Lepisosteus oculatus: one gene and its partners. The protein of the gene in region 3 interacts with the protein of the main gene of each other region in a biochemical or structural test. Links are inferred from orthologs where the notes say so. Each region holds a gene or a part of one and is shown on either strand. Other genes may lie near its edges. The genes, in order: dicer1, trinucleotide repeat-containing gene 6A protein and ago2.

Region 1 (7,693 bases), on a different chromosome or scaffold from region 3:
GCACGACCTCATCCCAGGAGAGTGGGTGTGGATCAGGAAATTTCCTTCACAGGTTCTCCAGCCCAGATGGGATCCAGATCCTGTTGACAACCGAGTCTGCGGTTCGAGTGGAAGGAAAAGATCGCTGGATCCACGCGCCACACTGCCGACGAGCCTCATCCCCATTTACAGACTCAGAATGAAATCATTTCTGTCAATAATGATAATTGTTGCTGTAGAACTATGTTCCGCAGGGATTAATGATCATCTCTCCCACAAAGGAGAACATGGAATTAATTCCTTTTTAGGCCTCTCCTATCTGACAGCTAAGAAAACCAACCAAAGTGCCTGCTGTGTGTGTGCAGCATTACCCAAATATGTACAGGGAGGACTTCCTATGGGAGCCATTCCTTGGCGTCTCGAGGAAGTCATAGGCATGATCATTTGGAGGGATAATTTAGGAGATTTTAATATGACAAACTATGGGGGTTGCCATAACACGACTTTAACCTGCACAACATTACAGTATCTACAGGAGCGAGGCTTAGAGCCCACGAGTTTCACAGGCTCTTACGCTCCTAAATATAACAGAAGCCATACACCACCATACCTGACTCTAAATAAGGAACGTGAGGGAAACATATGTTTTCAGCACACTAATGGTCTGCACTTGGTTGGATGGAGTCGTTGCAACCTTACCATCGCTGCAAATATATCCACCTCTACCTTCCAAATTCCAGGATGGGATCGGCACACCCCACAATTCGGTATAAGTTTCTTATTTTCAGAGGCATGGGGAGCGCCAAACGGAACATATTTCATTTGTGGAAAACGAGCCTACCCATGGTTGCCAGCCCAGTGGTCTGGCTCATGTTATTTAGGATATGTGGTTCCTCATATCCGTGTTCAAACCCACACCCCCTTCGGACCTAACCACAGACCACAAAGAAAATTGGCTGATTGGGAATATTATTTAGGTATAATATTTCCACAAGCCGGCATGAACTTTCTGAGTCGAGAGTTAATTCAAATGGCTTCGACTTTAGAAGAATTAGCAAATTCTACCTCATCTAGTCTGAAGGCTGTTAATGATGAGATGGTAGCCCTCAGAACAGTGGCCATGCAGAACCGACTAGCTTTAGATTATGTACTGGCGGCCCAAGGAGGAACTTGTGCAGTAATTGGCACTGAATGCTGCACATATATCCCTGATAATTCTGAGCACATCTCAGATCTGGCCCAACACATTTACAATGAGGGACAGAAATATCAGGACTATTATACTGAAAATTGGGGAATTGGGTTTTGGGTAAAGTCTGTGTTTGGGGCCTGGGGTGGAACCTTTTTATAGTGTTTATCTGTAGGAGTAGTATTGTTTATATGTATAATTGTAATCATCACGTGCACAAAAACATGTATCACATCTTGCCATAACCGTGGAATGTACAATGTCATGGCAATACATACCTGTTCGCCAAGAAAGGAAAGATCTGCCCTGACATTGTATGTATAAAAATAGGCTACACTGACGTATGCCATATTTTATAAGGGGGGAATGAAGAAAGATGTGAAGACGGGGGTTTGAATTTAATCTTTTCTGTAGGGGGTTTAGACTTCCAAGTCACAAGCAGGGGTTTATGGCAGGAAAGGGGGTTAACTGATAAGGATTGCAGATGCCAGCTAGGAACCCCCCTGGGTGTAATGTTAAACTGACCATTTGCCCAGAACATCGTAAACTGGCCAAATACCATGAACCCCCCTCTTTACCATCATACCGAGTGACGTCAGAAACGGAGAAGAAAACACTATATAACCCAAAAGTTTGTAACAGTACGTTGAACAATACTTCGGTTTTGTTGTTTCTTGCGGGAAACAAGACTTCGGCTTTATTGTTCCTTGCATGCAATAAACTCATCTGTTTCACTTCATCTCGGGATCAAGAACCTTATTTCTTCTGTTACAACAAAACCCATAGCTTAAAAATTAATCATTCGGGTAACAGTAAAAAATCTACCATTTTATACAGTTTAATTAGAACTCATTCGTATGAAAATTTAGTTTTTTTCAGATTACTTGTAAAGCACTATATTGAAACCTTTTAACATCCTTTAACAAAAGAAATACAATTAATACATGATCCATTATAAAACCTTTAAAGTTCTGTAGTTCCATTCTCATTAATATAAATTGTACAAAAACAATTTTAAAGCCTGACTATTTTTTAAATATTACCAATGTAATTATACGTAAATAAGTGCATTTTTAGATCTTTAAATATCCCAAGAATTCTGAAATCAAGAATTTATAAACCTTATGACGAAAGAAACAATAAAAATAGAAATGAATACAGTATTCATTCTATATATTTACATTTTATGTAAAATTATTTGCGACACAAAAAGTTCCATTATTTTCTTCATGTTTGGCAAAAAAGCAATTATAAATTAAACACTCTCTCACACTAAAACTTGCTTGCCTAATTTAAAATGCAAAAGAATGCACAGACCAAGACTGTATTTACTTTGTAAGCAAAGCAAAAGAAGAGGCCCAGCCTTTCTCCACTCTAAATACTGTACTGTATCTTTGGCAGTTTCTGTCTATAGAAAATGTAAGCAGCACAAGTATAGGAACACAGAGACTGATGTGGAGTCCATGGACTAATGCTTTAAAGTGGCACAAGGTGACATAACACCTTGCATATTTCAAAACTGAAACTACTGCTGCAATATCCACTGGTGAAAAAAACTGTACCATCCTTCCACTTAGAATGACTGGCTCTTTTACAAGCAATAATAATTATTTATAAACTACAGAACACTGTAATAAAAGACTTTCTAAAGGCAGTAAACCGTGTGCAGCGCTGTTACTGTACCATCTAGTGACTCCTTGCAGTCTAGTGTCCTTTCAGATTCCAGTTGGGCTACGAAGTCAGTAATAAGTTATAAAGTAAAAATAAAACAAAAATGCATATGTACAAACATGAGTAGATTAACATTCTGTGCTCTTGATTGTCCTCTGTCGATTGTGACCTTCCGTGAAGCCTGTAACATGTAACAGAGCTCCTCATTTCTTCAGTGCAAGGAGAGCATGTGGCAGAGCTTCAAGGTCCAGCTGGGGGATGAGAAAAAGGCAATAGAGGAGGATCCACAGGAAGAGCAGCAGCTGCATGCAGTCCTCCGAAGAGCTGACAGGCGTCTCTGGCGAGCTCTCTGAACCGCTGTACTCCTCTCTGCAAGATAAGAGAGCTGCCATTCAGGCAATGTCCAGGGGTTCATTCACCCTGTGATGAAGGAGGTGATGAGCCTCTGACTCAAGCATGGTGATTGCAACACCATGAGGCAGTGCAGACCTCTGTATCTGAGATCCTCCAGCAGCACAGTGAGAACTTTAACTTACAAGTGGTTGTCATGGGAAAAAACGAAAGTAGACAACACCTGGTAATATCTAATTTGATGAGTGTACAATATTAACACACACAGAAAGCTTGTGGAACAGAACAAAAGGCTCACTGAATGTGAGCACAAGGTGAGTAACGATGATTTCTTCAGGCTCTAAGAGCTACTTCCAGATCCAGGACACCTGTAAGTGTACGAGTCACATTTTTCAATACAGAATTGCAGAATTCACTTACCGAGTTAAGAGTACTGGATTTGTTGAGACTCTCTGAACTGTTAATACCACAGAGCCTATTGTGTCATTCTGTATTCATTCTGACCTGCTACATGACACTGCGTGCTGCTGGAAGACTGTCTTTCTGTGCTCCCACTACAAGGGGCACAACCAGCCTCTTAGGCTTCCTTGGTGAACCCTGTGCTCTCTATCTTTGCCTTAATCCTTAACTGTGACTGACTCGACCTATCTAGCCTCTACTGTTGGAAAAAGATACAGATAAACTGTTCATCTTCTTACTATATCCTTCAAGGTCCAATTTGTTTTGTACTCCAAACAAATTCCATGCATGACCAAGCCTAAACCATTATATTGTGAATGTGTAAAGCGCTCTGTGACAAACTATTGCAAAGGCAATTAAAGCAAATAAAAGATTGACTGATTAATTAATACAGCAGCCATTTTGCACTTCCGGATCTGAACATTAAGGTGGCATCTAGATAAGTTAATAATTTAAAGTAAGATGAAATATTTAATAAAATGTATAAATTATGTGAAAAGCCTTAAAATAATCATAAATCAATCAATAATCACAATGTAATTGTAATATTTGTCTAATGATTTTTAGTATTTGTTTCAGCAACAGTCTACAACAGGCGGAGTGGTGGCACTTTTGCTAAAGATCTATGCCAGTGGCTGGAAGGTGGCTGGTTCAAATCCTGTGGCCGACAGAGGAACTCTTCTCCGTTAGGCCCCTGAGCAAGGCCCTTTACCCCAACTGCTCCAGGGGCTGTACAATGTACAATGGCTGACCCTGCGCTCTGACCCCAAGCTTCTCTCCCTGTCTGTGTGTCTGTGTCTCATGGAGAGCAACCTGGGGTATGCGAGAAGATGAATTCCTAATGCAAGACAATTGTATGTGGCTAATAAAGTGAGGTGATGTGATACAGTATACAATGATAAATGTGGGCAGAATTACAGTACAATGTTTAGGCGTCTTCATATAAAATACCTGGTATCAGAACTAACTGTCTGAATTGTCTCACACCCTTTCGCCTTGATCTTCATGCTTGTCTCCTGTTAAGATAAAAAAAAACACCTGTTCATTTCCTTTGCATGCTTCGTGTTAAATGGAGACAACTTGGCACAGATGTGTTGAGTTTTTCCAAGTCTGAAACTGTAGAGGTAGATAAAACAACTGCAATATGTTCTAGATTTAATCTCCACACAAGCCAATGAAATGGTGAACCTTTCTAAAAAACTAATTTCTACATGCATCTCTACATTCAGCTAATGGAGAAGTAAAATCTTCCAAAAAAGTTAAAGGTTTCTTTATCACACATTGCTTAAATTGCACATTATAGGGAGATATTTTAAAATGACTGAATTCTTTCTTTAAGGCTGGGTTTCTTATTAACTTACCTTAATGTCCTCACTGTCATCAAGCTTCCTCAGGTATAGCATGTGAGAAAGGTGGCTTTCTCTCAGTGAATCATCACACGGTGCCGCTGTGCTGCTCAGAGAGAATAAATGTATTTAATGTTTTCCACCACTTTACTGAACTACTCTTTCATTTTTACTGAAGGGGGAAATGGGAGCAAATGCTGCTTTTGACAAAAGGCTAAAAAAAGTATCCTGTTGACTGTGACTGATTCCGGTAAAAACCCTGACATGAATATCAACAGACCGCAGCAGCTGTCACACCGCATGAGCCAAAGGCGCAGAGCAGTAGAGTAACACCTGCTGGTGTGTCCAGCATGCACACTCCTTCCTTTTGACTAGGATACTGCAGATTAAGGCCATGAGCTCGTGTGGCACAGACCAAATTTTCAGTTCCAAGTAGGCCATTAAGTTCAAAGTATCTTAATAACTAAATGTCATTTTAAGGCACAGCTAATATAATTAAATATTACCTTATCTTTATATTCATCAATCACCAGTGAGACAACATTTCTTATTTATACCATGTAGGAGAATATTATGTGTTACATCAGATAACTGTGGTACCTCGGTAAGTCTGTGCTTTCTCCAGCAGCAGTATGTCCTTTTGTGGCAGTAATAAATTCACAGCTGATCTCAGACACATCTGATTCTACATCTTCTAAATCCCAGAAGTCCTCTTTCTGTTGCTCCTTCTTATCACAATCCACACCTCCTGGCATTTTATTCTCAATCTGTTCTCCTGCATCCTGGCCATGAATAAAGAGAGAGCAATCACAGCCTGCAAGGACTCAGCCAGAGGGGAAGGACATTAAGTTAAGTAAAGAAGGGAAACAGCACAGGTGTCACACAGGCTACATAATCGAACTGACATACCTCAACACTGAAGCTTCAGGAACATCAGTTTAAATTTACAATGCATGTTGTGATGAATTATTAGCTACCAAAAAGTTTTACCACCACTTTCAGTACATTTCAGCAGTAAAAAAGGTTGGTTGGTGATAGTCAGGAATTCATACAGTATTATTAAATAAATAGTACAACCCTTCTAGTTTTATAATAGCCTGCTTAAAATAATACAACTTCCATATAATACCACTCTTGTTCCCCACTAAAGGAAAGATACATATGAATGAAAATGTGTAAAAATTCAAAGATACATTTAAAAATATTTAACTTTACTAAGTAAACTAAGGCATCTGTTACTCATTTATTACAATACATTCATCCTTTGAATATTCCCCTAAATAAGTGAGCTTAACAGGTAGCCGATTAATAATAAATCATTTTTGAATAAAAAGTCAGACAAATCTTTAAAACAAGATGCAGCACATTAACAACATGTAATCTTATTCCCTATTTCAATAATAATAATAAATACTTAATTCCAAATCTCTGCATACCTGATACTGACTGGAGCCTTGGCTTTGCTCTGCAAGACAATCTCTGATGGAGTCTGACAGCCTGTCTGTGGACACTTCCCCGTCAGTACTGACCACATACTCGTAGTGGTCCTCTGTCCCCCTGTCTTGCTGTGCAGACATGGACCCATGACAAGACCTTTCTGTGACTCTGTTAAGGTGCTCCAGATCAGCATGAAGTTCTGTTTCTAGCATGTCTGGGTGATTCCCTGTGCAGGCTTCTGTGTTTCTATGGTGATCGGACTGTGCTGGAGCACTGTCAGAACCTAAAGATGGACCAGATAGAAGCTGCTTTCTTTCAGTGACCGGCTTTGAAAATGCTCCAGAAACATTTGATACGGCTTCTTCATAGCAAGGGTAGTACACCATGTCCACAGGTAAAATACTATTTTGTCTAGCATTATATACCACACTTCCATTCATTTCACCAGGTTCATTAATGCAAAGCAGCTGGGTGGTGCATTGAGTTTCAGGTCTGGTGCATGCATCTAGTTTCAGCCCTTCCTGATTCCTTTCTTTGTCCTGCTCTGAAGGGACAGTATTCCCACACAAGTCAGCACTGGACGAAGCCATAAATGAGGGGACTATCTCCTCTAAACTGTGATGCAACAGGCAATTCTGCTTAAGCGCAGTCTCCAGTCTGTCCTGGGCTTCACTGGGTGTGCTAATCTCCTCTTGACCACTACAGCACTCTGACTGACTTGCATTTTCAGCATCATTCAAATCCAAGATGTATCTGTATGCATCTTCTTCCTCAGACAGAAGCTTGGATTTCATGTGAAAGCTATCCACAGAACTTTGTGAGAAAGTGCCTTCATCGATAAAAAGGTCAGAAAAAATGTTGTCTTCTGCAGCATTGTCTTCTAGTGGAGTTTCCGTGCCCTGGATATAATCTTTCTTTACAGTTTTTATTGATTTCTCAGGGGAGCACTTGCCATTGGGATCAAAAGGAGGATCGCTTTCATTGAGGCAGCTGCTGCTTCTGCTGTCGGAAGACTGTCCTTCTCCATCCAGCGGCATGGACTCACTCGCAATCTCACTCAGCGAGTCCGGAGAGTCAAGCACTGAGTCCACGAAGGAGGGTTGCGGGGAGCTCGAGCTGGACACTAGGAAGGACATCTCAGAGCACAGCTCCAGGGGCAGTTTTCCATTCCCGGCAGATACTGCGGAGCTGGAGGTGGACTCCGAGGAGTCGTCTCCGTGGGCCCAGGGCTGACAGTGCCCACCTCTGTCGGGAGATGTGT
Region 2 (7,313 bases), on a different chromosome or scaffold from region 3:
TAGGATCCACACAGACCACCAGTGAGCACTCCCACAGGTCACAGCCATTGAAGCATTATGGCACAAGTTCACGTCAGTCTACTTCTGGATTGTTGCGTGTAAACTGTTGCATTCAGAGAACTGTAGGTGTGAAACTCAGGCTCTGTGACATTAGCATTTTGGATTTGTCTCCCTGACATAACTCCTGCACTTTGACTAAGGCCGGAACAGGGCCCTTGAAGGCTCCTAGTTCGCTATGTTTTCTCTGGGACAGGCTGGTCTGGAGTGAGGGAGTTTCCAGAGAAAAGGGTGACCTCTGGGGAAAAAACAAAGAGATTTTATCTGGTCTCGGTTTGTTTGCAGCACCCCCTGCTGTAATTACATATGGACCTTTTAAAAAATGGATGAACGTCGCTCACTGCAGATAGTTATATTAATTTTTTAGCCAAATTTATTTAAGATTGTATAGCAAGGAATGGTAGTGTAGTACTTACAAATGAACTACCTTGCTCAAGGGTACAATTCTAAAGCCCTTACCACTGCCCAAATTGACCAAATGTATTAGCAAACCCCAGCTACTGGGAACATTTGTTTTCTTTTCAGTCTTCTCTGCACACGAACGTGCAATTTGTACAAATTTCTATTTATTTGTGACGGACCCTTCCCTTACCTAAGGCCACCCCAGGGATCTGCACGTATAAAAATGTCACAATAATGAAAAACAAGCACAGGCAACTTTATTATATTTTCAAGGCTTATAACAAAAAGAATGTAAAAAAGAACCAGCTCTATGCATACCCTTTAAATACTTCAAAAAGAACCCTGTTAAAACTCATGTGAGAATGTGCACATGTATTTTCTACCAGTAATTTGATTAATTATTGCCAGTGTGTCTATTCACAACAATTAGAGGCAGGTTTGGCATTCTCTAGTGTCTGGTTAGCTGTAATTGTAGATTTTTAAAGTCGATTTTTTTAAAATCTAAACAGAACTGAGCGTTTTCTTTTGGTATTAAGTTGAAAAAGTCTCATCTTTAAGAAGCTGGATTTGTTCTTCATTTTTTAAAGGAAGTGAAGAAGTCAAGAGCGAAGGAAATGTGGAGCTAAACACAAACTTTTCTGTGAGGTGAATTACCCCGCAGCCCGGAGCTCTGCTGTAAAGAGAGCTGACACACTGCTTCCTCAGTGCTCTCGTGGCATGCTTTCACATACCAGATCAGTCGAAGACCATATTAAATTACATCGACGGGAGTATTTACTCTGTGGCAGAACTTCCCTTGAAATATCTTGAGGTCACCGATTAAAAAGACAGTCAGCACGGAACAAGGCGATGAAAACAAACAAAACGCGTGGATCGCACTCTGTCGGGCGTGTTTTTCCTGTATTATTTTTCGGCTGTTGTTTCAAGCACTTTATAAAGAGCGCCAGGCCACATTTGGGCTGATATAATTTATGCCGGCACTGTTTTAATTACACAGTCGTGTCGTTTGTTTAGAAATTCCCATTACTGATGTCAAGTTGTGTTCATTATTCACTCAGGGCTTCGTAGCCCAGCTATTGTTCAGCGAGTGTTTTCCTCCAGACAGTCTGTGAAGCCGACCCCCACTGAAAAGCCCATTCCCTTGAATTAATCACAAGATGATATAGTTGGTGCCAGCTCTTTTTTAAGCCATTGATATAAAAGAGCTATTTGATTTAATTGGTATTTAAATGTACTCCAGATGAATGCCCACACTTCTACTGCTGTAAGTGGGAACACAGCTGTTTGTAATGAGCAAAATATGATTGTTATAACTGGGAGGGGGGGATACCTGGAACTCGTCAGACAGGGACAGACATGGCCTTGCTCTTTCTTCTAGATCCTGGCGGGTGTAACTCTTTTTCTGCCGCACACTTGAGATCTAGGAACACTGGGATTTCCACTTTGTCCTCTGTCTTGTCTATAGTTGCATCTGTTCAGGGAAAAGTAAAAGGTTTTGTTTATTCACCCGATGTTTCTGAGGAATGATGAGGTGCCAGGAATGGATTCTTGATGATTATGGACTTGTACATAAGGGACAAAAGTCTGTTTCTGTATACTGGTGGATCCCACCCCCATTAGATTGCTGAAGCCTTCATTGATCTAAGACGATCTAGGATCTATGATCTAAGATCCATTTGAATGTTTGCAGTCCACGTTTGGATTTTATTTCACTTAAAAAATAGATCATGTTTAAGAGCTGGGAACAAACAGTTCAACTTAATCTTATTATTCTTGGTAAAGCTCGTGAAAGGGTTTGATTGTGTAACTGAGAGCTCCATTGGAACAAAACGTGTGCAGACGTTTTTATGTGGGTGGCCAGCCCTTTCTTTGTGGGAACCCGTACTCTCAAGATTTTACTGGGTATCACTAAATTGTCAACCGGATAAGTACCCTGGAACAGAGAGCAATTTTGACCAGTTCTGCCCAATAATTGAATTAAAAGCTTGGATGGAATAAAACTCCATGTCCAGGGGCGACCAGTGCTTATTCTTGCAAACCGATATTGTGTGTGGGCATGATTGTAAGGTGAAAATTGTAGAAATATTGTATCTTTCACACGATGCATACTACATTGGTATCAACAATAAACCTTAGCTGAAAGAAATGGCCTTTTTCTGACTGAGGTGTAAGGATATATTTTTGTGTGTAGTGAACTCAGATTGTGGCTGGCTGAATAACACACAGGATATCTAATTTATACGAGCTCTGGAGGACTGAATGATGGGCGATTTGTCCCTCAGTACAACTAGAACAAGTTCTGTGTTTGGCAAGCCAAGTGTCCAAGTCAAGACTTGTGTCCAAGTATCTATTGCTTGTCTGTTGTGCCTTCTGTCAGACATCCATGCCATTACAATGTTATAAAAGGGTGTTATGCTTTAGATTGCTTTAGAGCTTTGTTTTTTGCATTCATTTAATTAATTTAGGAATCAAAAGATTGAATTAAGGTAAAACATAATTACATGATTTTGAGGTTCCTGAATGGTTTCATTAAATAGTGCAGGATGTCCTAGAAAAGTGCTTTAGGTCAAGATATTGAAGAGCATTTTAGAGACTGAAGGTGACTCTGGGTCAGGTTTCAGTTACATGTAGTAGTTTATTGTTACACGTACTAAATATATAGTATCGTCACTAGTTCTAAGCATTTAAGATAACCTTTTTTCCATAATTAACAATGATATAATATATAATGGAAAATATACACTATTAGCACAAAAGTTTAAAATAATCCAGTTGTGTTGAATTTTTTTATGAGAAATGTGAGTTCAGCGTTAGAGGTAAGATTATTTTAATTTGCTTAAAAATAACTCAACAACATAACTCAATAGATGTAATAGTATTTTCTAAGAGATTGAAGCCCTGTGCATAATGTTCATAATGAAATGATACTTCTCCCTATGATGATCTGAATGTTATTAAAGGACCAAATCTTTGCCAAAGATCTGGGGAATAAGATACTATTTATCCAAAGCCCCGTAGTGTATAATGGTATATATTTCCTCTTTGAGATTGTAAAGAAAACATAGTATGAACCATCCATGTCATTAATATGTTTGCAGAATATTATAACTTAAATAATATTCTAATTTCTCATAAAATTTAGTAATTATGTTTTTATGATATACATTATATAGATCATTTTTCTCCAAATAATATTCATTTATTCTTTCTTGCAGCCTGCAGTCGTTCCATGAAAGATTATATCTTTTGGAATTTTGTATGGTTTGAATATCTTTATGCAAAATTCTTTAAAAAATATTTTCTAGGTGATGCCAGAAATAAAATAAAATTCCTACCTTATATGAGTGGTAAATGTAGTGATCTAAACTTAAAGGAAACTGAGTGAATCAACAGCCGTGCGCGTTCAACTTAAAAGAAGGCAGCGTTGTTCCTGCGCATTCATAGTAAATTAACATTGCGAAAACAAAGTTCTGCTCTTGGCTGTCACCTGTCCCAGTTTCCAGATTTTCCAAGGGCACAAGGTGGAGGTTTTAACAAAAATTAAGCTGAGTGTTAGATTTGACTCGTGAAATAACGTGGACTTTCGAGTGTTAATAAACTCATTCGAATAACATTTTTTTTTTCTCAGTCGTGGCTCTCAAAAAAATAAAAGAACACCCCCAAAAAAGGAGACCCGTCCTGTGAAAACCAGCGGCGTTTTTTCGTGAAGGCTGGGGGCTCGCTTCCTCGGGCGGCATCCTTTCGGAAACCCGAGGCGTCCTCCTCGTCGGAAGCTACGTTTACCCCCCAATCCGTGTGCCGACATTTTAATTCGCCTCCAATCTCCCCCCTTCCGCCATGTCTGGTTCCTCTCTCCCTGCGTGTGCTGAGTGTGCTGGTCTGCAAAAGGCTGCTGCCACGCGCTTTGCTCTGGCATTCCTCTGTGCTGCGTGCCAGGTAAGGAGAGATCCGCGCCCGTCCGCTCCGCTCCGCGCCGCGCCGGGCTACGGGACGGGCGCCTGCCTTTATTTCGGGGGGTTCGTCGTCCTGCGGCTGGTACTGTTGAAAGGGCTGCAGATGAACGGAGCTGGGGTGGGGGGAGGAGAGGGGAAAAATAAAGGCAGGCATGCCAGTCTGCCAGTAGGTACAGATGCTGCGTAGTCTGTGCTCGTCCTTGAAGGCTGTCCAAGAGCTGGCTCAGGGCGCCGGAGGGGTGGCAGGGTTCCAGCCTCATCTCTCTCTCCCCCTCTCTCGCACGCTCCGTCTCTCTCCCTTTTTTGTTTTTTGTTTGCGTTTTGTCCGGCGGGCTGCGCGCAAACTGTCCCGTGTGCTCCTCGTCCTGTCAAGGGTGCCCCGCGACAGCCCGGGGCCGACGGGCGACCGACGAGGGGGTTGGCATGCTTTCCGTCCTCCCAGCCAGCGCCATTTGCCTTCACCTCCACCTGTCGGGTTGCAGGGGAGTTGGGGGGGGGAGGCATTGTCCCCCCTCACTCCTCCTCCTCCTCCTCATCCTCCACTTTTGTTGTGTTATTTTTTGTCACGAAAGCCGAGCGGCGGATGGCACCGTGCGGGGCTGCAGTGCTCGGCTGTGTGACGTCATGGCTGTCTGGCCAGCAGCGAACACGCTTTGCAGCGTGCAGGTTGCAGAGCATTTACTGCAGAGCCTGTGACCTGTTTTTCTTTCCCTGTGCAGCAGAAGAGGTTTTTTTGGGAGAGTGGGGGGGGTTTGTTGTTGCTTTGGTTGGTTATTTCCTCACGTCATAAATCCCGATTCATATCGCAGTAGTACCAGCTTAACCAGTGCCAGGTCGCAACAAAAGGGGGGGGGGGTGGGAAACCGAACAGAACAGTTTAGTCCTCTTTTCATTCCCCTTTTCTTTTTTGCCATCCATTATTTCGGTCCTCCTCCGTCCTGAATGGAAATTTCTCAGAGAAGTCGATCAGTGCCTGCTCATTTGAGAGGTAAATGAGAGCTGATTATTTAGTATCGGATGCATTATGTGTTTCGTACCAAAAAAAAAAAGAGAGAAAATCCTGTGGTTTTGATTTGTATGAATTCCACTGTTGCGGCATTGCATCTAGCCCGGGCTGCTATCTGAGGAGCTCTGAGGGCTGGGATGGTGCACAAAGGGAGAGCCAGAGAGGGTGGAAAGGACATTGCTGTAAGAAAACCTTGGCATCTTTTCTGGCATTGCTTTCGTTATTTATTTTTAAACCGTTGTCCCCCCCCCCTCTCCTTGCGCTTTTTGCCTTTATCCTTTGTTGCCCTTCGTTTGCAGCCGGCTGGAGTTTTTGTTTTGCGTTTTTTTCTTCTTCTCCTTCTCAGTCTGAGCTTCGTCCCCTTTTGTGAGAACGTTGTTTGGTACTGTCGCCGAGGCTGTGTGCCAAGTCTGTCTAATTAAGATTAAGCATATGCAGATTTGCCTTGTTTTCAGCTAATGACAGCTGCAAACAATTATTTGTCATGCTTGCTGATTGTTGATTGGTGAAAGGATAGCCATGAGAGGATTCTCAGCTTTCTCAGGGTGTGCGTGTGTCGGTGTATGTGTGTGTGTGTGTTGGTCTCGGTAAGTTTCGAGATGCTGTTTGTCTAGACAGACGTGGCCGGCGTAAATTTCTTTCATTTCGCCGTCTTCTCGTGATATCTTGAAACAAAAGAAGCAGTGGGAGAAAATTCTTGCGAAAGCAGAGGGGTTCATGCCTGCCTGCCTGTGTGGATGCTTGTGTTTCTCTGCTGCGGTGGGCTTCTTGGCATTGGGGGCCAATGTATAGGTTTTGTTCTTAGTGTGCCAAAAGGAGGATGATGGGGGGGGGGGGCATTGCGGCGGCCCTTCGTGCTCCTGAACGCCAGCGGGGTTAGTGATTCTATAGGGTCGCTTGTTTGTTTCCGTTTTGCGATTTCCATGTTGCCTCTGGGTTTTCATTTGTTTTGGGGGGTTCTTGCTATACAGCCACCGTGTAGGAACAATATGGGGGGAACAGCTAGCTCCTCGTTCAGCCTTCACAAGCTCATTGCGCAGTTAAAGGGAAGGCGTTGCAGCAGGCAGGGCTCTGGCTTCGCAGTCTTGTCCACGAAGCCCTCTTTGGCTCTGCAGCAGAGATCTGGTGCTCCCCTCTTCACAGCCTGGCACCACAGAGGCAGCTCTGATGAACCCTGTCTGGCCACGGAAGCTGAGAATCGGTCCGAGACAAATGCCTGCTCTCAGCTGGGCAGATGAGACTTTGTGACTTGTGGATCTGTTGATTTAAGAACATTTACAAGCGCTTCAGTCACAATCCAGATCCTCCCCACCTCCTGTCCGTTTGAAATGTTTTTGTTTTCTGGGTTTTGATGTAACAGAAGAGTGGGGCAGTGGTCTTGTCAAGGAAATACCAGGTACCAACCATGCTTGGAGGGTGAAAGACTTAAGCTGCGTTTCACAAAAATACTGTCTTTGTCATTAAAATTGCAGTTACTTATACAGGTATGAATCTGTCAGCACTATTGTGCAGGTGCATATAAATGTCTTTTTTTATGATTTGAATTATTAACACATTGTTTACCAGGAAAGTCTGGTGTGTGCAGGTGTGCATTGATCTTCAACTGGGTTTGCACTTTTAAATTGTCCATCAAGAAATGCAGTATGCTCTGGTGTGGAGAAACCTGTGTTTTACCTGGGAGCATTTCCCTGCCATCCTGGAACCAGTATTATATGAACGTCAGAGAGGCTGCACACGAGAGGAGGCTGTTTGCCCCATTGTGCTCATTTGGTTTTAAATCACGTAAGCGAAGATTTCCTCCAGACAGCAGTTCATGAAGGGGCAGTTCCTGATGGAGTTTGGGCTTCAGCCACCACACCTAACTAGAAGTCTGTCTAGGATTCGCACAGCTCTGT
Region 3 (7,100 bases):
AATCATTACCTCCTAATAATTCCCATTTATTAACTGGCTTCATAACTTTGTTCTTCCCACTAAGAGCTTACGTTGGTGAACTGTCGTCACATCAGCTAGGTGGGGGCTGCACACTGGCGGTGGTGGAGGGGAGTCCCCATTACCGTAAAGCACTCTGAGTGGAGTGTCTAGAAAAGAGCTATATAAGTGTAACTGACCAAATCACATCCATATATGATTAGTAAAATATTATTGCACAAATTTACAAACTGATTATTTGAGGGTCAGGAATCAGACATACAGGATGTTAATTCTGCTGGAACAGAGCTGACAGGCCAATTTTGTACTGATCTCATCTTTTTCATCCAATCTATCACAAACAAATAGTAACAGCCGAGACAGGTTTCTCATGTCTGTAGATCAAGTGAAAAGGCAGACACTCAATTTTCCAAGAAAGTGTGCCTCCGTATCTTCCACTATCTCACAAACCTTTTTTAGAAACAGTGCCGTCCGATCCAGGATCTGACCTTTTTCCACGTGCCCACTGCCAGAAAGTCTCGAAAAAATCCCCCGAATAATAATCAAAAACTCTCCAAGTGTGTTTCCCTACCATTTGCAATCCAGAATATCTGATATAAGGCTTATAAACATTTTCACTTACTTAAATGCTACAAGTGAACTCGCCATCGAAAAGTTGAGTCACTGTTGAAAATATCAAATTAGTATTACAACCAACCTTTGTTTCCAAGGGTCTGCTTTTAAAACAAAATACAGCTTTAAACACTCCTTATACATTTCATCTGAACAATAAACTTATTTCTGAGTTTATAATACATCGTGAGTTTACAATATATAAGTTGTGGAAATCCAAATACGAATCACTATGCTCACAGACCTTCTGAGGTTTTGATCATAATGTGTTACTGCTGTTCTAGGCTGTAAAAGGGAGCAAAGCTGTACTTGTAGCTACAAAATAAGAGTGCAATGGATTGCTCTGAGCCAACTGGGCCTGGCTTTTGTGCAAGGCTTTCAGATCATACAAACTGGCCAGCAAATTCCAGGAACTTGTGCAGATACTTGACTAAGATACTCTTCTGTCAGTCAGGAACTGAGTGAACCTGAGGATAGCACATAACTCGCTCACGTCTGAATCTAGAAATCAGAGGAAACCAAGCAGCAGTTTTAAGAACGCTTAACTGAAGCATACTGAAATCCCGCCATCAGTTTAGGGTTTTTTTATCTACCCTAGACAGTTTTTTTAACATCATTCTGTACCAGGGGCGAGGCACAATCACCTTCTCATTTTGACACTCAAAATCACTCATAGCACTTACTACATATGAGCCATACCTAGTTTTCAAGAATATCAAAGCCAAATGGGAGATGTGATATCCACACCAAAATGCCATTAGAGCAGTCATCTTCTAATGAAATTTAGCCCATACTACTTTGTCATTCATATGTCTTAAAACAGAACAATTTCAATTACCACATGGATATTTGTGGTCATCACACTGAAAGACGTATGGCCTACTTCAAAAATAGCTTCATCTTTCTGCACCTACACTAGCCAAGTTATCCCTCCCTACCGTTGAGATGACAGGGACATCCCCTTTCTCCCAGATAAAGCCCCCTTCAGTCAAAGGGAAAGGGAAAATGAGGATGATTAAGGTAAACTGAAGATGCATTACTGGAATCTGCGTTCTTGATCACATATAAAGTCCCTTTGTAATACAGTACACAACGTAAAATGTCTTGTGTTGCAGTGTGTAATTACTTAAAAGGGCAAGGAGAGCCAGCGGGAAAAAAACCGATGCATTTCGGATACAAAAAAAGGAGTTTAGATTGTAGTTCTGGTCTAGTTCCAGTTTCAAAAACAGGTATGCTCTGATGCCAGGCAAACCGCAACCTGAACCGCTGTGGTTCACAGTGGAAATTAGACAGATAAACTACCATTAGCTGCGCACTTTTCACTTTAAAACCCTCAATAACAACATCACCGTAATGAACGACCCAGTTGTGTGGGAATGAAGTTAAACTCTTGCTGCCGTTAACAACACATAACACTCCACCACTGATATAAGATCTCAAGATCCACCCTACATATTCAAAAGCCACAATTGTGTCGTACAAATTCTGCATTTAATACGCGCTAGCTGACGAAAACATTGGTCTCAGAGCAGAAAAAGTCCACGATGCTGAAAGTACAGTATCGCAACCATTGTGCTGTCCAGTGTACAGAGACGTGCCTAGCAGCCTTATAGACCATATTTAGTCATTATTTTCACGTTGATAAACTCGTGAGCTTGTTCAGCGTGCGTTTCCGCAGGAGGAAGCGGGGTGCACCGGTTCCATGACTCCGAGCCGCCAGCGCCGGATGCCCCCGGGAGTTCAGCCCCGGTCCCCCCGCCTGCGCGCTCACGCCAGCTCGGGGCTTGGCGCTCAGGCCTACCGCCAACCCCGCCAGCGCGACCAGAAACCGCCGTGAGGCGCAGCTGGTGCGCCAACTCGCACGACCGCGGCGCCACTCCGGCTCACCTCGCAAGGGGCTCGTCCGAAATCGTACCACGATAACCCCCCCCTCCCCGACCTACTCTCCTCACGTTATCGGTGTCTTGGGCCTCTATCCCTCCCTTCTGCTCCCAACTCTTTCCTCCAGACTCGCTCTCCGCGTCAAGACTCGTTATCTCATTCCCCCCACGCCTGGCGATTTGCAAACACGAAGCGATTTTCAACTGGAAGCCCAACTTTCCTTACGGAACCACTAAAAGGCAAACTTAAACAAATAAACGCTCCCCCCCACCACCACCACCTCCTCCTCCGCTTTTTAAATTCCCCCATCAACACACATTCTGTAGTATTTTTTTTTTAAAAAAAGAAACTAGATGAAGTTACCGCCAGCTGCTCCTCCCGTGTACATCTTTCCGTCTCGTCCGGCTGCCGTTCACTTTCCACGTTTCAGATTTCCACCCCCCCCAAAGAAAAAATTATTCGCCGTGATTACGTTGAACAAGAGGGGCAGCCTCACTCGAGAGGATTAAAGTTGGGGGGTGAAGGGAATGAAACACAAACACGGATCCTCGCTAGTTGGGCTCCTCCGCTCCTCCCCCAGCAGCTCACCGCAGGAGAGGAGAAGGGGCCGTGACGTCACCCAGGGGGGCCGGCGCGGTGAAAGCCATGTGCTCGCCCGGGGCCCTCTGGGCGGACGCCGCCGCTGCGCGGTGTTCATAGGCTTGAAGCGATGGGCTTTTTCAGTTACCGCACCGGGAAACAACAACAACAACAACAAAAAACTGGCAAAAACGTACCTGCCTGTACAGTTTGTTTGTTTTTTAATGTGGTTCATTTACAGGCTTCGAAGGAACAAAAACTTGGCTCAGTCACAAAATACAGCCCGCTTTGACGATGATTTGTAAACCGGATACCAACCAGTTTTTTTTTTATTATTTTACTATATTTACTTTGCAGGCGCCCTAATCTAGTATGGGACAATATAAAAAATATTTCCATTTAAGTGTCGGTACCAGGAACAGTCGCGTGTAACATAAAGTAAATAAGGGCTTGAGTGTCTTTGATCTGTGATGACTTCTTTTAACATGTTACTTTTTTTTTCGTCGTAAAGTATAAACAGAGGATGGGGCTACTCTAAAATCTGAAACATAATTGCGGCGTGGTTAGCCGTTATAAAAACGGCCATTCAGAAAACACGCATCAAGACTGTCCTGTTTGCATACCAGACGCGATGTCCCGCCTCGCTCCCCTCCCTGTTAACTGCAAGCGGGAGTCCTCTGTACTTGGAGAGGGAACTTTTTCAAGCGACGCTCACGTCCTCTGCCAACCTCTGCAAGCGTGTCTTTCTGCCTGTTATCCTGTTCATCTCCCCCAGAGCCCAAGTTTAGGAAGAAAAGAACGCGTTGTTTCGACTTTAAACAGCGTTGATCATTTCCCACGTGTAATTATGAATCTGTAACTAGAACTCAAAATGCAACCGCCAAATATTATTTTATGGATTCTAGACGGTGCAGTAGGGTTGTCTGGAAAAGCAGCGTGAATTCAACTGACATGATAATTGTACTTTTCTCGGGCTCTATGCTTCCGATTAGACCCATAAAACCCGTCTGTGGCTGTAATTGACCACATGATGACGCCCATTTATTTCTGTGAAAGAAGGCAGAGTTTCGGCTTCAGCAGCATGGACGGGTAGTTTGCTCTACACTCTCACAATGTAGATTGTTTCAATAATGTAATGTTGTTTAAGTAAATGCCTCCTGTTTTCAGATTCAAATGAACTACCACATAGTATCCACTTGTGAAGTTGGCTTGACTTTGAGGTTTTGAATACTTGGATCGCTCCCTCCTGTCTTTAGTGCTCTTTGCTCAGACCTAAAAAGGTTCATGTCCTAAAACCTGTTGGTGCCAAACATTCCTTTAAGGCCCAGAATGTATCTAGTTGCTCCTCTGCAGACTGACTGGAGAGAGGTAATATTTTTCAATAGCATGCCAAACCCTATATTGGTTTTTGATTATGTTTTTTCTTTCCGAAAGTAAGATATTTGAATGGAAATTACAATTACTTAATTTCTAAAAAAAATTAGGAAATTCCCCAATTTCCCTTTGGGATAGTGTTATCTTATCTTATCTTCCTGACCAGCCCAATGATTACAAATGCAGTGAATGTTTTTTCTTTGGGATCAAATCAAAACTGTTTCTGCGGTAACCAAACTCTTTATGTGATATAACACTGTGATGGCTTTTGCAGAAGCTTTTCTATTTTAATATGTAAAATTTAATTACACTGCAAGAACAATAATAAAACTAAAAAATGGTCAGTTCCTTTGCTTTTATTTTAAATCCTTTTGCAAACACAAGCATTGAAAATGAAAGTACTTTGAAACTGCTTATAGTCTGAAATGTACCGTCTAAACTTGTCAAAACAAAAGACTACAGCATTTTCATTAAATTAATGAATCATAAATTACAAATAAGTCCTTCCAATAAAACGCTAGCTTGATCACAATTTGTTTAATACTATCTAACTGAAAAATGTTAAGAATATTGTTATATTAATGTTTTATGAACTTGGAAACATATCTTCTTAATAATGTTTATCAGAATCCAGTTTCTTGATTGCAGTAGTTGTCCTAACAATACTATATTCTCCATTACACATATTTTGTGTTTTCACAACAGAAATAATTTTCTTTAAAAAATGCAAGGGCCTCTTTGCTGACTAATTCAAGTATGTAGTTGTGTTACCATGGTAGCCTGCAAAGGAACAAGTTAAGGTTTATTTCATGCTGAAAAAAGCATACCCAAAGAAGGCTCCCCAGCTGAAACATTGTGTTCCTCTTCTTGTCTTTTCAACATGGAACAAACCTTTACCGTTTTGCTGACTTTAAATTTCGGTAACAAAAGTCTGTCCCATGTTTGTAAAACTAAAGACTTGTGTGCTTGCTAATTTCTACTCTAGGTTTATACCATCTGGTCTAACCAGAATTCCCCCTTAATTCAGCTAAGCATTTTCTTACTACCTCTGCTGTGTCTGGGAATCTCTGCGTACGACCGAGATGGGAGCTGTATTTATTGGTTGGTGAAGTGGATCGTCTCCTATGTTTAAGATATTTAAGATCTATTGTATTGAAAAGCACTATAATTAACGAATTAAGTAAGGAATTATTATTGTTATATTTTTGCTTTGCATTAGTGTGTGCCTGATTTGTGTGATAATGTCAGAGGATGTGCTCAGCAGTCTTATAATAAGGACCAAATGTTAGGACTGATGCATTGCTTTTTTCAAATCTAGTAACAGGGTTACGTACAGTAACGCATGGCCCTACAATATTCAGTAATTTCCAGAATGCAGCTGCATGCAGATATTCTACACATGAATCTGACTCAAGAGCCAGTCATATCATTGTTTCAGCCCCACATGGGAACAGTAAATTCTAGGGAAAAAAAGCAGTGTGAAGCCAGTCTTGCACAAATATGATACATGACTCATATCTGTTTTTACTCTAGATCATATTCTACTTGGCTTTTCTCAGTTAGTGTGAGCCAGCCCATCTTGGGAGGTCACTCATTTTCTACACATCAGACAGACTGCAAACACGACACTTTTCCATAAATTTAGGATGATGCAGATATTTCCATTGCTATTTTATAAACATGTTGTTTGTTTAATAACATTAAAATAACAATGATTCTAAATAGAAGGAAATATATGTTGTTTCTACATTATTTTTTTTGCCTCTGGAAAAGATACCAGAATCCTCCACTCTCAACAAAAATAAGTTTACAAGGTATAATCATATCTTAATTATATTTGCAACGTGAGAGTATGTTTTTAACATAGATAAGAACATGAAAAACAATTATTGATTGCAAAATAAATATCTAATACTTAATGGTTCACTGTTAAATCAAACCATTGTAATAGGTAAATGGTTTCTTTCTAAAATGTTAATGCAATATGTCATACCATGTTGTTAATATGCTATTGCACCTATTTCATAACTCTTACAATTGAACTATGGATAACAGCTGAACTGTTCTTTCTGATTATTCTTACTAAACCATAGAAAAGTACTCCATATGTTTCCCAAATCTCTGTTTAATAATTATTATGATGTTTAAATATATGATATACAGTATGTACATCTCACAGCTCAAGTACCTTAGAACTTTTATATCTGTCAACACAAAATCTTCACTAAATCTTGGAATGTGACATTTAGTTTTACTCTCGGTTTCACTAAGTTAAAAGAGTAGTTTGAAAGGTCACCAAATTAGTGTAAAGGTTTCTGTCTGCGTGTGATCAAAGTGTTTTAACTCGGCTTTATAGTAAAGCCATGTGTTTCTGTAAGTTCCCTCAGACCGATCTTGATTTAAACCACACAGCAACATTACAAATCAACCACAAGAGTAATGAGCTCTATCAGCTCTATGAAGCAGGGATAAAGTGGAGGGGAGTGCATACTCCCCTCCAAATGGATCAGGATACATTTGCTCATCCCTTTGAGTAATAATAACTTACACTTATGTAGCGCTTTTCTGGACACTCCACTCAAAGCACTTTACAGATTATGGGGACTCCCCTCCACCACCACGTGTGCAGCCCCACC

Evidence for each region.
Region 1: the proteins of ago2 (region 3) and dicer1 form a complex in vitro, tested with the Homo sapiens proteins (2 studies listed by BioGRID and IntAct). The link is inferred for Lepisosteus oculatus from reciprocal best matches to the Homo sapiens genes AGO2 and DICER1.
Region 2: the proteins of ago2 (region 3) and trinucleotide repeat-containing gene 6A protein form a complex in vitro, tested with the Homo sapiens proteins (2 studies listed by BioGRID). The link is inferred for Lepisosteus oculatus from reciprocal best matches to the Homo sapiens genes AGO2 and TNRC6A.

Annotation. Positions count from the first base shown.
Region 1 is NC_090703.1:556,514-564,206, reverse strand, and holds the start of dicer1 (endoribonuclease Dicer), read right to left. Parts: upstream 3,043-7,693; 5' UTR 2,959-3,042; intron 1-2,958. Other genes in the region: clmna (calmin), read right to left, coding at 3,043-3,208, 4,601-4,665, 5,011-5,101, 5,596-5,777, 6,432-7,693. UniProt on the Homo sapiens protein: Double-stranded RNA (dsRNA) endoribonuclease playing a central role in short dsRNA-mediated post-transcriptional gene silencing.
Region 2 is NC_090714.1:11,923,191-11,930,503, forward strand, and holds the start of trinucleotide repeat-containing gene 6A protein, read left to right. Parts: upstream 1-4,296; coding exon 4,297-4,395; intron 4,396-7,313.
Region 3 is NC_090705.1:34,006,911-34,014,010, reverse strand, and holds the start of ago2 (protein argonaute-2), read right to left. Parts: upstream 3,105-7,100; 5' UTR 2,900-3,104; coding exon 2,875-2,899; intron 206-2,874; exon of another isoform or gene 1-205.